Sus scrofa: one gene and its partner. The protein of the gene in region 2 interacts with the protein of the main gene of each other region in a pairwise test. Links are inferred from orthologs where the notes say so. Each region holds a gene or a part of one and is shown on either strand. Other genes may lie near its edges.

The links.
Region 1: the proteins of RNF40 (region 2) and NCBP1 interact in binary tests that used the Homo sapiens proteins (3 or more experiments, as listed by UniProt). The two-hybrid records come from large-scale screens. The link is inferred for Sus scrofa from reciprocal best matches to the Homo sapiens genes RNF40 and NCBP1.

Annotation. Positions count from the first base shown.
Region 1 is NC_010443.5:239,491,423-239,495,167, reverse strand, and holds the start of NCBP1 (nuclear cap-binding protein subunit 1), read right to left. Parts: upstream 2,596-3,745; 5' UTR 2,153-2,595; coding exon 2,119-2,152; intron 1-2,118. UniProt on the Homo sapiens protein: Component of the cap-binding complex (CBC), which binds cotranscriptionally to the 5'-cap of pre-mRNAs and is involved in various processes such as pre-mRNA splicing, translation regulation, nonsense-mediated mRNA decay, RNA-mediated gene silencing (RNAi) by microRNAs (miRNAs) and mRNA export.
Region 2 is NC_010445.4:17,633,487-17,637,231, reverse strand, and holds the start of RNF40 (E3 ubiquitin-protein ligase BRE1B), read left to right. Parts: upstream 1-1,241; 5' UTR 1,242-1,373; intron 1,374-1,482; 5' UTR 1,483-1,553; coding exon 1,554-1,685; intron 1,686-2,070; coding exon 2,071-2,238; intron 2,239-2,372; coding exon 2,373-2,514; intron 2,515-3,745. Other genes in the region: CCDC189 (coiled-coil domain-containing protein 189), read right to left, coding at 237-268, 571-786.

The sequences.
Region 1 (3,745 bases), on a different chromosome or scaffold from region 2:
ATTTCTGATTTTAGCAGAAATCCTAGCTGATCGTTACCCAAAGTGCGGCAATTTACTGAAGTTCCAGGATAGTATCTAAGAGGAACTATTAACTGCCCCTCTACTACTAAATTATTCATAGTAAACTTTGATTAACTCCTTTTTTTTTTTTTTTCTTTTTAGGGCCTCGCCCACAGCATGTTGAGTTTCCCAGGCTAGGGGTCTAATTGGAGCTACAGTTGCTGGCCTATGCCACAGCCACGCCAGATCCAAGCCACGTCTGCAACCTACACCACAGCTCCTGGCAACGTCGGATCCTTAACCCACTGAGAGAGGCCAGGGATGGAACCCGCAACCTCATGGTTCCTAGTTGGATTTTGATTAACTCCTTATTTTCTTTTCTTTTGTCTTATTTATTCTGAGGTTCCTGCAGCAAGACCCAAATGGACAGTGCTTTAGCTGCCAGAAGCTAACTCCTAAGAAAGTTATGCTAGCATCCCAATAACCAAACTACATATTCACATCGAATTCTCCAGGCTGTCCTTTGGAAACACTCCCTCTCCTTTTAGGAATGCCCTAGAAGGGAGAAGAGAAAAAAAAGCACAAGAAGAGCAAAGAAAATGGGAACAACTTTAAATTTAGACTCAAGTTCTCCAAATACCAAGTGATGACTTCTAGGAGATTTAGGTTTTTAATTAATCAAATGCAAAGCACATGAAGACTATTTTCTGTGCTCTGTATGTACATTATACAAGAAGCCTCCTGTGATTAAAAAAAAAAAAATCAAAGCATGCAGCCTACTATACATGTGTAGCAAAAAGAACCTTGGATTTGCTTTCACCTGTGTCTGGGCACAGCCATCTCCATTAATTATACTAAATCTAGACCCTTAGGTGTCAGGTGACAAGACTGGACTAGACTATCCTCTCAAGCCATGTCCTAGCAGAAAACTGATATTTCATTGTTAAAATTAAGTAGGTGGGATTTGGTTCCTACCCTCGAGTGCCCCAACATTCAAGGAGAGAAAAATATAAGTGGAGAAAATTAATTAAATCCAACTTTTTGATCCGTATTTTTTTCCTACATCGTTGACATCTGCCAATGCTTATCAATTCTTAAGCATTAACAGATGATAAAATACATATCATCATGAGCAATTAGTTACATATGTTAATCCTCACAAAACCAAGAACAGGCATGTATCATTAATCCAATACTACAGACTAAGGTTTAAAGAGGTGATATAATCTGGGCAAGATCACAAAATAAATGGCAAGGTCTAACTTTGAACTTAAACCCTCTGTCTCCAAAGTCTGGCCTCTTAACCACTTTACAACACTATTTTCAAGTATTAATAACTAAATTATTTTTAGTTTCTTTTTGCTTTTCTAGATGTGTATTCTTGACTGTTGTTTTTTTAATGTAAGCATCGTTTCCTATTTTTAACTAGCTAAATTATTCCTGGTTTCTATGACGGCAATTCCAGGATCCCCATGAGTGCAAATATCCAAATGGGAACCCCGATCTAACCTCTACGAGCTCTCTAGTGAGTCTTCTGGCATTCTTTTCTTAAACGAGAGAAATAAGCTTACAACCAATTCAAGATCTAACATAACGACCTACGTATATCTATTTATTAAAGACTTCTCGCGTGCGGATAAGAAGCTGATTTTTCTTCCCCAGTGGTTTGAAAGAAGGCAAAACCCCGGATGACCCGCACAGGAGAGCTGGGATTGCAATTCATCAGATCTCTCACCTTCCGAGAGCCATTAATACATGATGTTTGAGGGTCAAAACGAGACACTGGGACAAGTGAGTCCTGGTCACCGTCTCTAAGGGGAAGCGGCACAGACACAAATATACTTCCCTGCTCGGCGGTACCAAGGACCTTATCTTAAAGAGTGCTTAGAGACCAGGGGTGCACCAGGCCTCCCCTCCGCCGACGACTCAAGAGGTGCGGTGGGGGATAGCACGAGCTTTCCAGCAGTCGCCCAGCCACACTCCCGCTGTGCCACCCATCTCCCCGCAAGTTCCTGGGGGAAGGGCTTCCCGTCCCTTCGCTCAGGACCTGAAGACCGAAGAAGCCAAACCTCGGCCCCACCTGGGCGCGGCTTCGGCGGCCAGGCCCAGAGCACTCACCATCGTTCTCGTCGCTGTGCCGCCGCCGTGACATGCCGCACGTTGTGTATGCGGCGGAGCCTAGACGCCGGGCGGGAAGAGCGGCAGGAACCGTCGGGCAGCCGGCCGGCGCGAGGACAGCGGCGAGGCTCACGAAGTGGCCCGCGCGCAGGCGCACTCGCTCGCGACGGCTCCCGGAAGCGCAAGGGGGAGAAGTGGCCGGGTGGGCTCGGCGGGCTCGGATCCCGGAGAGCCGGCGTCTGGAACCTCACCAAGCCACTGCCGCCTCGTCCGCACGCAACCGCCCCCTCGGGCTGCCTCCGCCTCTCCGCTGCTTCCTTCGCCCGCCTCCGCGGGAAGTCCTTCCGGGGCCACGCGGAGAGCACCGCCTCCCCAGGCGGCCGGAGCCCGCAGGCCGCGAGCCACGCCTTGGCGGGGGTGGTCTAGGAGGGACGCTCTAGTTCAGACTCCCTCCACTTCAGACTCCCCCCCGGGCCTCTCAGTGGTTTTCCCGGCGGCCCTTTCGCTAACGGCCTAGACTTCCGGGGCGAGGTGAGGTCCCCGGCGTTCCTTCCTACGTAAACAGGGGCGGGGGCTGGAGGTGCAAGGGTGGTGAGAGGTGACAATTGCTAGGCGGAGACGGTTTGGTGAAGAAAGATCTAAGAAAGGATCTGGACTGGCGGGTACGTGCTCATCTTTCTCCCACTTCCGGGCCTCTGCCGACTCGGGAAAGCTGGGAGGAGAGATTGGGCCAGGCCCGGCGCGCGGGGTGGGGCCCAAGCGGGAAGCGGCGCCGCTCGAGCAGCTCTGGGGACCGAAAGACCCTGCCTAGCTTGAGCTTGCTGCTCTGCGGTTAGCTTCTGACCGTCGTCTGACCTCTCGCCCCTCTGAGTTGTTGATCGCTTTAGTAATGTTTCCAGTGGTTATTGGATACTTCCATTATGTGTATGTGAATATTCTCCGCCCTGACCTCTGTGGTGAACACCACGGCTGCTTATCTGCTTTGTCGATGGCCATTTGAAATTTCACACGCGTGAAATGAACCTTTCATTCTCCTAGCCTAACCTAGCCTAACCTATTGCTCCTTCACTTTTACGCATCCATCCGATTGCTTAATCCAAAAATGTAGGTAGGAGTCATTCTTGGCTCCTTACTTACTACCTAATGAACTATCAGTAAACCTTATCAGCTCTACTTTCAAAACCGATCTGGAATCAGTTACTCCTTTTTTACTACTCTCTCATGACTTTGCGATGTAAAGTAACCTGACCTACAGGGTCCTACTCTTTTATCACTATGCTCCAACAATTCTTACTTTCTTCCTGTACCTCCAGTAAGGCAAGCTTGTTCACCCTTTAGGCATTTATATTCCTTTGCCTGAAGATTTCTACCCTTAAGTATGCATGGATGGCTCCTTGGCATTTCAGTCCCAGCTCAAGCATCAGCCCCCTTAGGAATCCTTCCCTGGCCACCCAACCTTTTACTCCATACCACAAATATTGTATTTATTATGTGCCAGGCAGTGTTCTAGACATTGAGGAGGCTGAGGTGAACGAAGGAAAACCCCTGCTTTCTCAGTGCTGATGACCGGTTGAGGAATCCAGCAAACTGCAGTCAGAGGTGGTGGGCAAAAATAGAAAAAGATGCG
Region 2 (3,745 bases):
GAGACCTGAGTTAAGAGGTTTGGCTCTTCCACTAACTCGCTGTGTAACTTTATAACAAAGTCACTGAGGCAGCGGGAGACCTGGCTTATAGTCATCTTGGGTAATTGTATCTCTGGGCCTCAGTCTCCTTGTCTGTAAAATGGGAATTCCGTCCTGTTTGACAGGCTCGTAAGGAAGCGCTAAAGGAATAATACAAGTGTGAAGGGTAACTTTCCCTCAAAGCTCTTCACACTCACCATATGCAGATCCGGGGCTGGGGTAGCGGCGGCTGCGGGAGAGAAAGCGGATTGGGAAAGGCAGAGCTGCGTTGTTAGTCCTGGCCCGTGGTTCTTTGCCCTTGGTGAATCTCTGGTGGTCTAACAACGCGATACCTTGCCTTCTCATCTTAAAAACTGTGTACTAGCAATACCGGCGGGCTGGGCTTCGGCGATCCCTAAGTACTATTCATGAGCGTATTGACAAGCAGTTCAAGCCTGCCTCTTCACCAAGGCAGCCCGGGAAACAAACGGCCCCCTGCCTGGGAGCCCTTTTATAAACATTCATGAGCAGACCACTCTGACCTGTCCTCACCGGGAACAAGTTGGCTGCAGGATCTTCATTCGCATCCACTGAGGCCACGGTCCCTGACTCGGTCCGCACTCCTGTTCCCATCCTCTTGGCCGATTCATCCAACGAGCTGAGGTCCTTCTCATGGTCTTTCTCATGTTCTCGCCGCAGTTCGGAGTGCTGGTCCAGCTCCGACCGCCTTTTCAGTCGCCGGAATTGGCTGGATTTCCGGCGGATCATCTGGTCGCTCCTCTGTGTCGCGGGTCCCCACCGTCTTTATCCTGCCTCGGTTCTGGGACAGCCGATCTCGGGCGGCGACTGCCAAGGCCTGGCCCTTATCGACGCTTCAGCCAATCTACGCTGCAGAGAGGCCGGGTACAGCCAATCGGCTGGGGGCGTCCCTCCGTCTCAACGGTGACGGTTGCTAAGGAGGATCCAGTAGGAAGGGAGAAAGTGTACCGTGCTCGCCAAACTGTGAGAAGAGAATGCGCATGCATAATAAGATGCAAACCCCGCCCCGGTGCCCTCTCTTCGAAGTTGTTAATCTGAGGCAGGCGGCGTTATTAGGACTGCGGAGTGGAAGTGTGTTGTCAGTTACCATGGCAACTGCCTACCGGCCAATCACTGAGAGAAAGAGGAGGTGTTCAGAAAGAAACCAAACGGACGCAAGAGGAGGAACAAAGCACAACCAATAGAAACAGGAACTGGAGAAGATTTCGCCACATCCGGCGCTGCCTCTGGCGCCTGCGCTCTGTGCTGGGGGGCGGGGGTGCCCAGTGACGTCCGGTGAAGTCCAAGATGGCGGCGCTAGGCTGATCCTGCTGCTGGTGAGGGGCCCGGGGCCGGCGGGGCGGGGTCCGGCAGCTGTGTGCGGGGGTAGGCTCGTGGCTGCGGACCTCCGTCCCCTTCCCCAGCTCTACTCTCTGTCTTCTGCAGGTGACGGAAGTGCCGAGTCCGCCTGCCTGACGTCCTCGAGAGACCGGGGGCCGCTCCTCGCCGCCGCGGCCATGTCTGGGCCCGGCAACAAACGCGCCGCCGGCGATGGGGGCTCGGGGCCCCCAGAGAAGAAGCTGAACCGCGAGGAGAAGACAACAACAACGCTTATAGAGCCCATTCGTCTTGGGGGCATCTCTTCCACGGTTCGTGGGCTCCTGCCCCAGCCCGCCCAACTTCCCAGAACCGTTTTCCCAGTTCCCCAAGTTTAACCAGATCCACTTTACAGAGCATTCTGTTGAAGGAAACCTAGGACATGACGTCTGCCTTCCCCTCGCAGATAGGCAAACAGGTTCCCAGAGAGCGTGTGACAGACATGTCAGACTTCAGGTAGAAAGAGGCAGGAGCAGAACGTGACGCTCCTTACAAACAAGACGCTTCCTCCGTGGGTGTCTGAGCTTTGTATGTCCTGTTAGCAGTCTGCTCCCCTCTCACATCCGTTCTATCTGCTTTCCTTTGTCTCTTTCTCTGATTGGTTTCTTGGGCCCTTCTTGACCCTCTCTCTCCTCGGCCCCTCTGTTTCCTTGGTAGGAGGAGATGGACCTGAAGGTTCTGCAGTTCAAGAACAAGAAACTAGCAGAGCGATTGGAACAGAGACAGGCTTGTGAAGATGAACTCCGAGAACGAATTGAGAAACTGGAGAAGAGGCAGGCTACAGATGATGCCACACTCCTCATTGTCAATCGCTACTGGGCCCAGGTGAATGCCCCTCTCCTTTACAAGACTGGGCTTTGATCCAGCTGCCAGTTCTCAGACTTCTCTGTTAGAAAGGGAGTATCATGCTAGGAAGCACCTGAGGGATTCCTAACATTTTTGGTGCTTTCTCCTTTCAGCTGGATGAAACTGTGGAAGCCCTTCTCCGACACCATGAGAGCCAGGGGGAGCTGTCTTCAGGGCCAGAGGCGCCTGGGACCCAGGAAGGGCCAACGCGTGATGAGACCCCTCTCACAGAGCCAGGAACATCGGAGCTGAGGGGTAGGGCCAGAACCCTAGGATCTAGGAAGCTTAATTAAGTTCTGGGAAAGGTCCTGGAGAGGAAAGGATCTTGATAATCAGGCTGCTGAATTCCCTGCCTATACAAACACACACACACACAATTGATTTTATATTTGGGCAGCAAATCACAGTGGATAAGAACAGAGACTTTGGAATCTGAATGACTTGGTTAAGAGTACAATTCAGGTTTTATTTATTTATTTTTTTTGTCTTTTTGTCTTTTTGTTGTTGTTGTTGCTATTTCTTGGGCCACTCCCGCGGCATATGGAGGTTCCCAGGCTAGGGGTTGAATCGGAGCTGTAGCCACCGGCCTACGCCAGAGCCACAGCAACGCGGGATCCGAGCCGCATCTGCAACCTCCACCACAGCTCACGGCAACGCCGGATCGTTAACCCACTGAGCAAGGGCAGGGACCGAACCCGCAACCTCATGGTTCCTAGTCGGATTCGTTAACCACTGCGCCACGACGGGAACTCCCAATTCAGGTTTTAAAAGTATTACATGTATTTGTATTATGACTGTGTACTTGGCACTGGTGTAGATTTGGAGGAGACAAAGATAGTTAAAAAAAAAAAAATTACTGGGAGTTCCCTGGTGGCTCAGTGGGTTAAGGATTGGCACTGTCACTGTGTGGATGAGTTCGAATCCTGGCCTGGGAACTTTTGCATGCCGTGGGTGTGGCTGGGAAAAAAAAAAAAAGGAAAAGAAACACTGTCTTAGCTATTAGGGTGAAAGTGACTGTAAACCACACACACACATAAAAGCAGAAGGGCTCCTGAATGGGAATTGGTATGTGTGCACTAATTTATTTATTTATTTATTTATTTTTGTCTTTTGTCTTTTTTGTTGTTGTTGTTATTGTTGCTATTTCTTGGGCCGCTCCCACGGCATATGGAGGTTCCCAGGCTAGGGGTTGAATCGGAGCTGTAGCCACCAGCCTATGCCAGAGCCACAGCAACGCGGGATCCGAGCCGTGTCTGCAACCTACACCACAGCTCACGGCAATGCCGGATCATTAACCCACTGAGCAAGGGCAGGGACCGAACCCGCAACCTCATGGTTCCTAGTCGGATTCGTTAACCACTGTGCCACGACGGGAACTCCTTTTTTTGTGTGTGTGTATGTGTGCACTAATTTAGTTTGGGAAGGCAGAGAAGGCATTTCTGAGGAAATGTTTGGAAGCTCTCCGTCCTTGAGGAAATTACCTCCT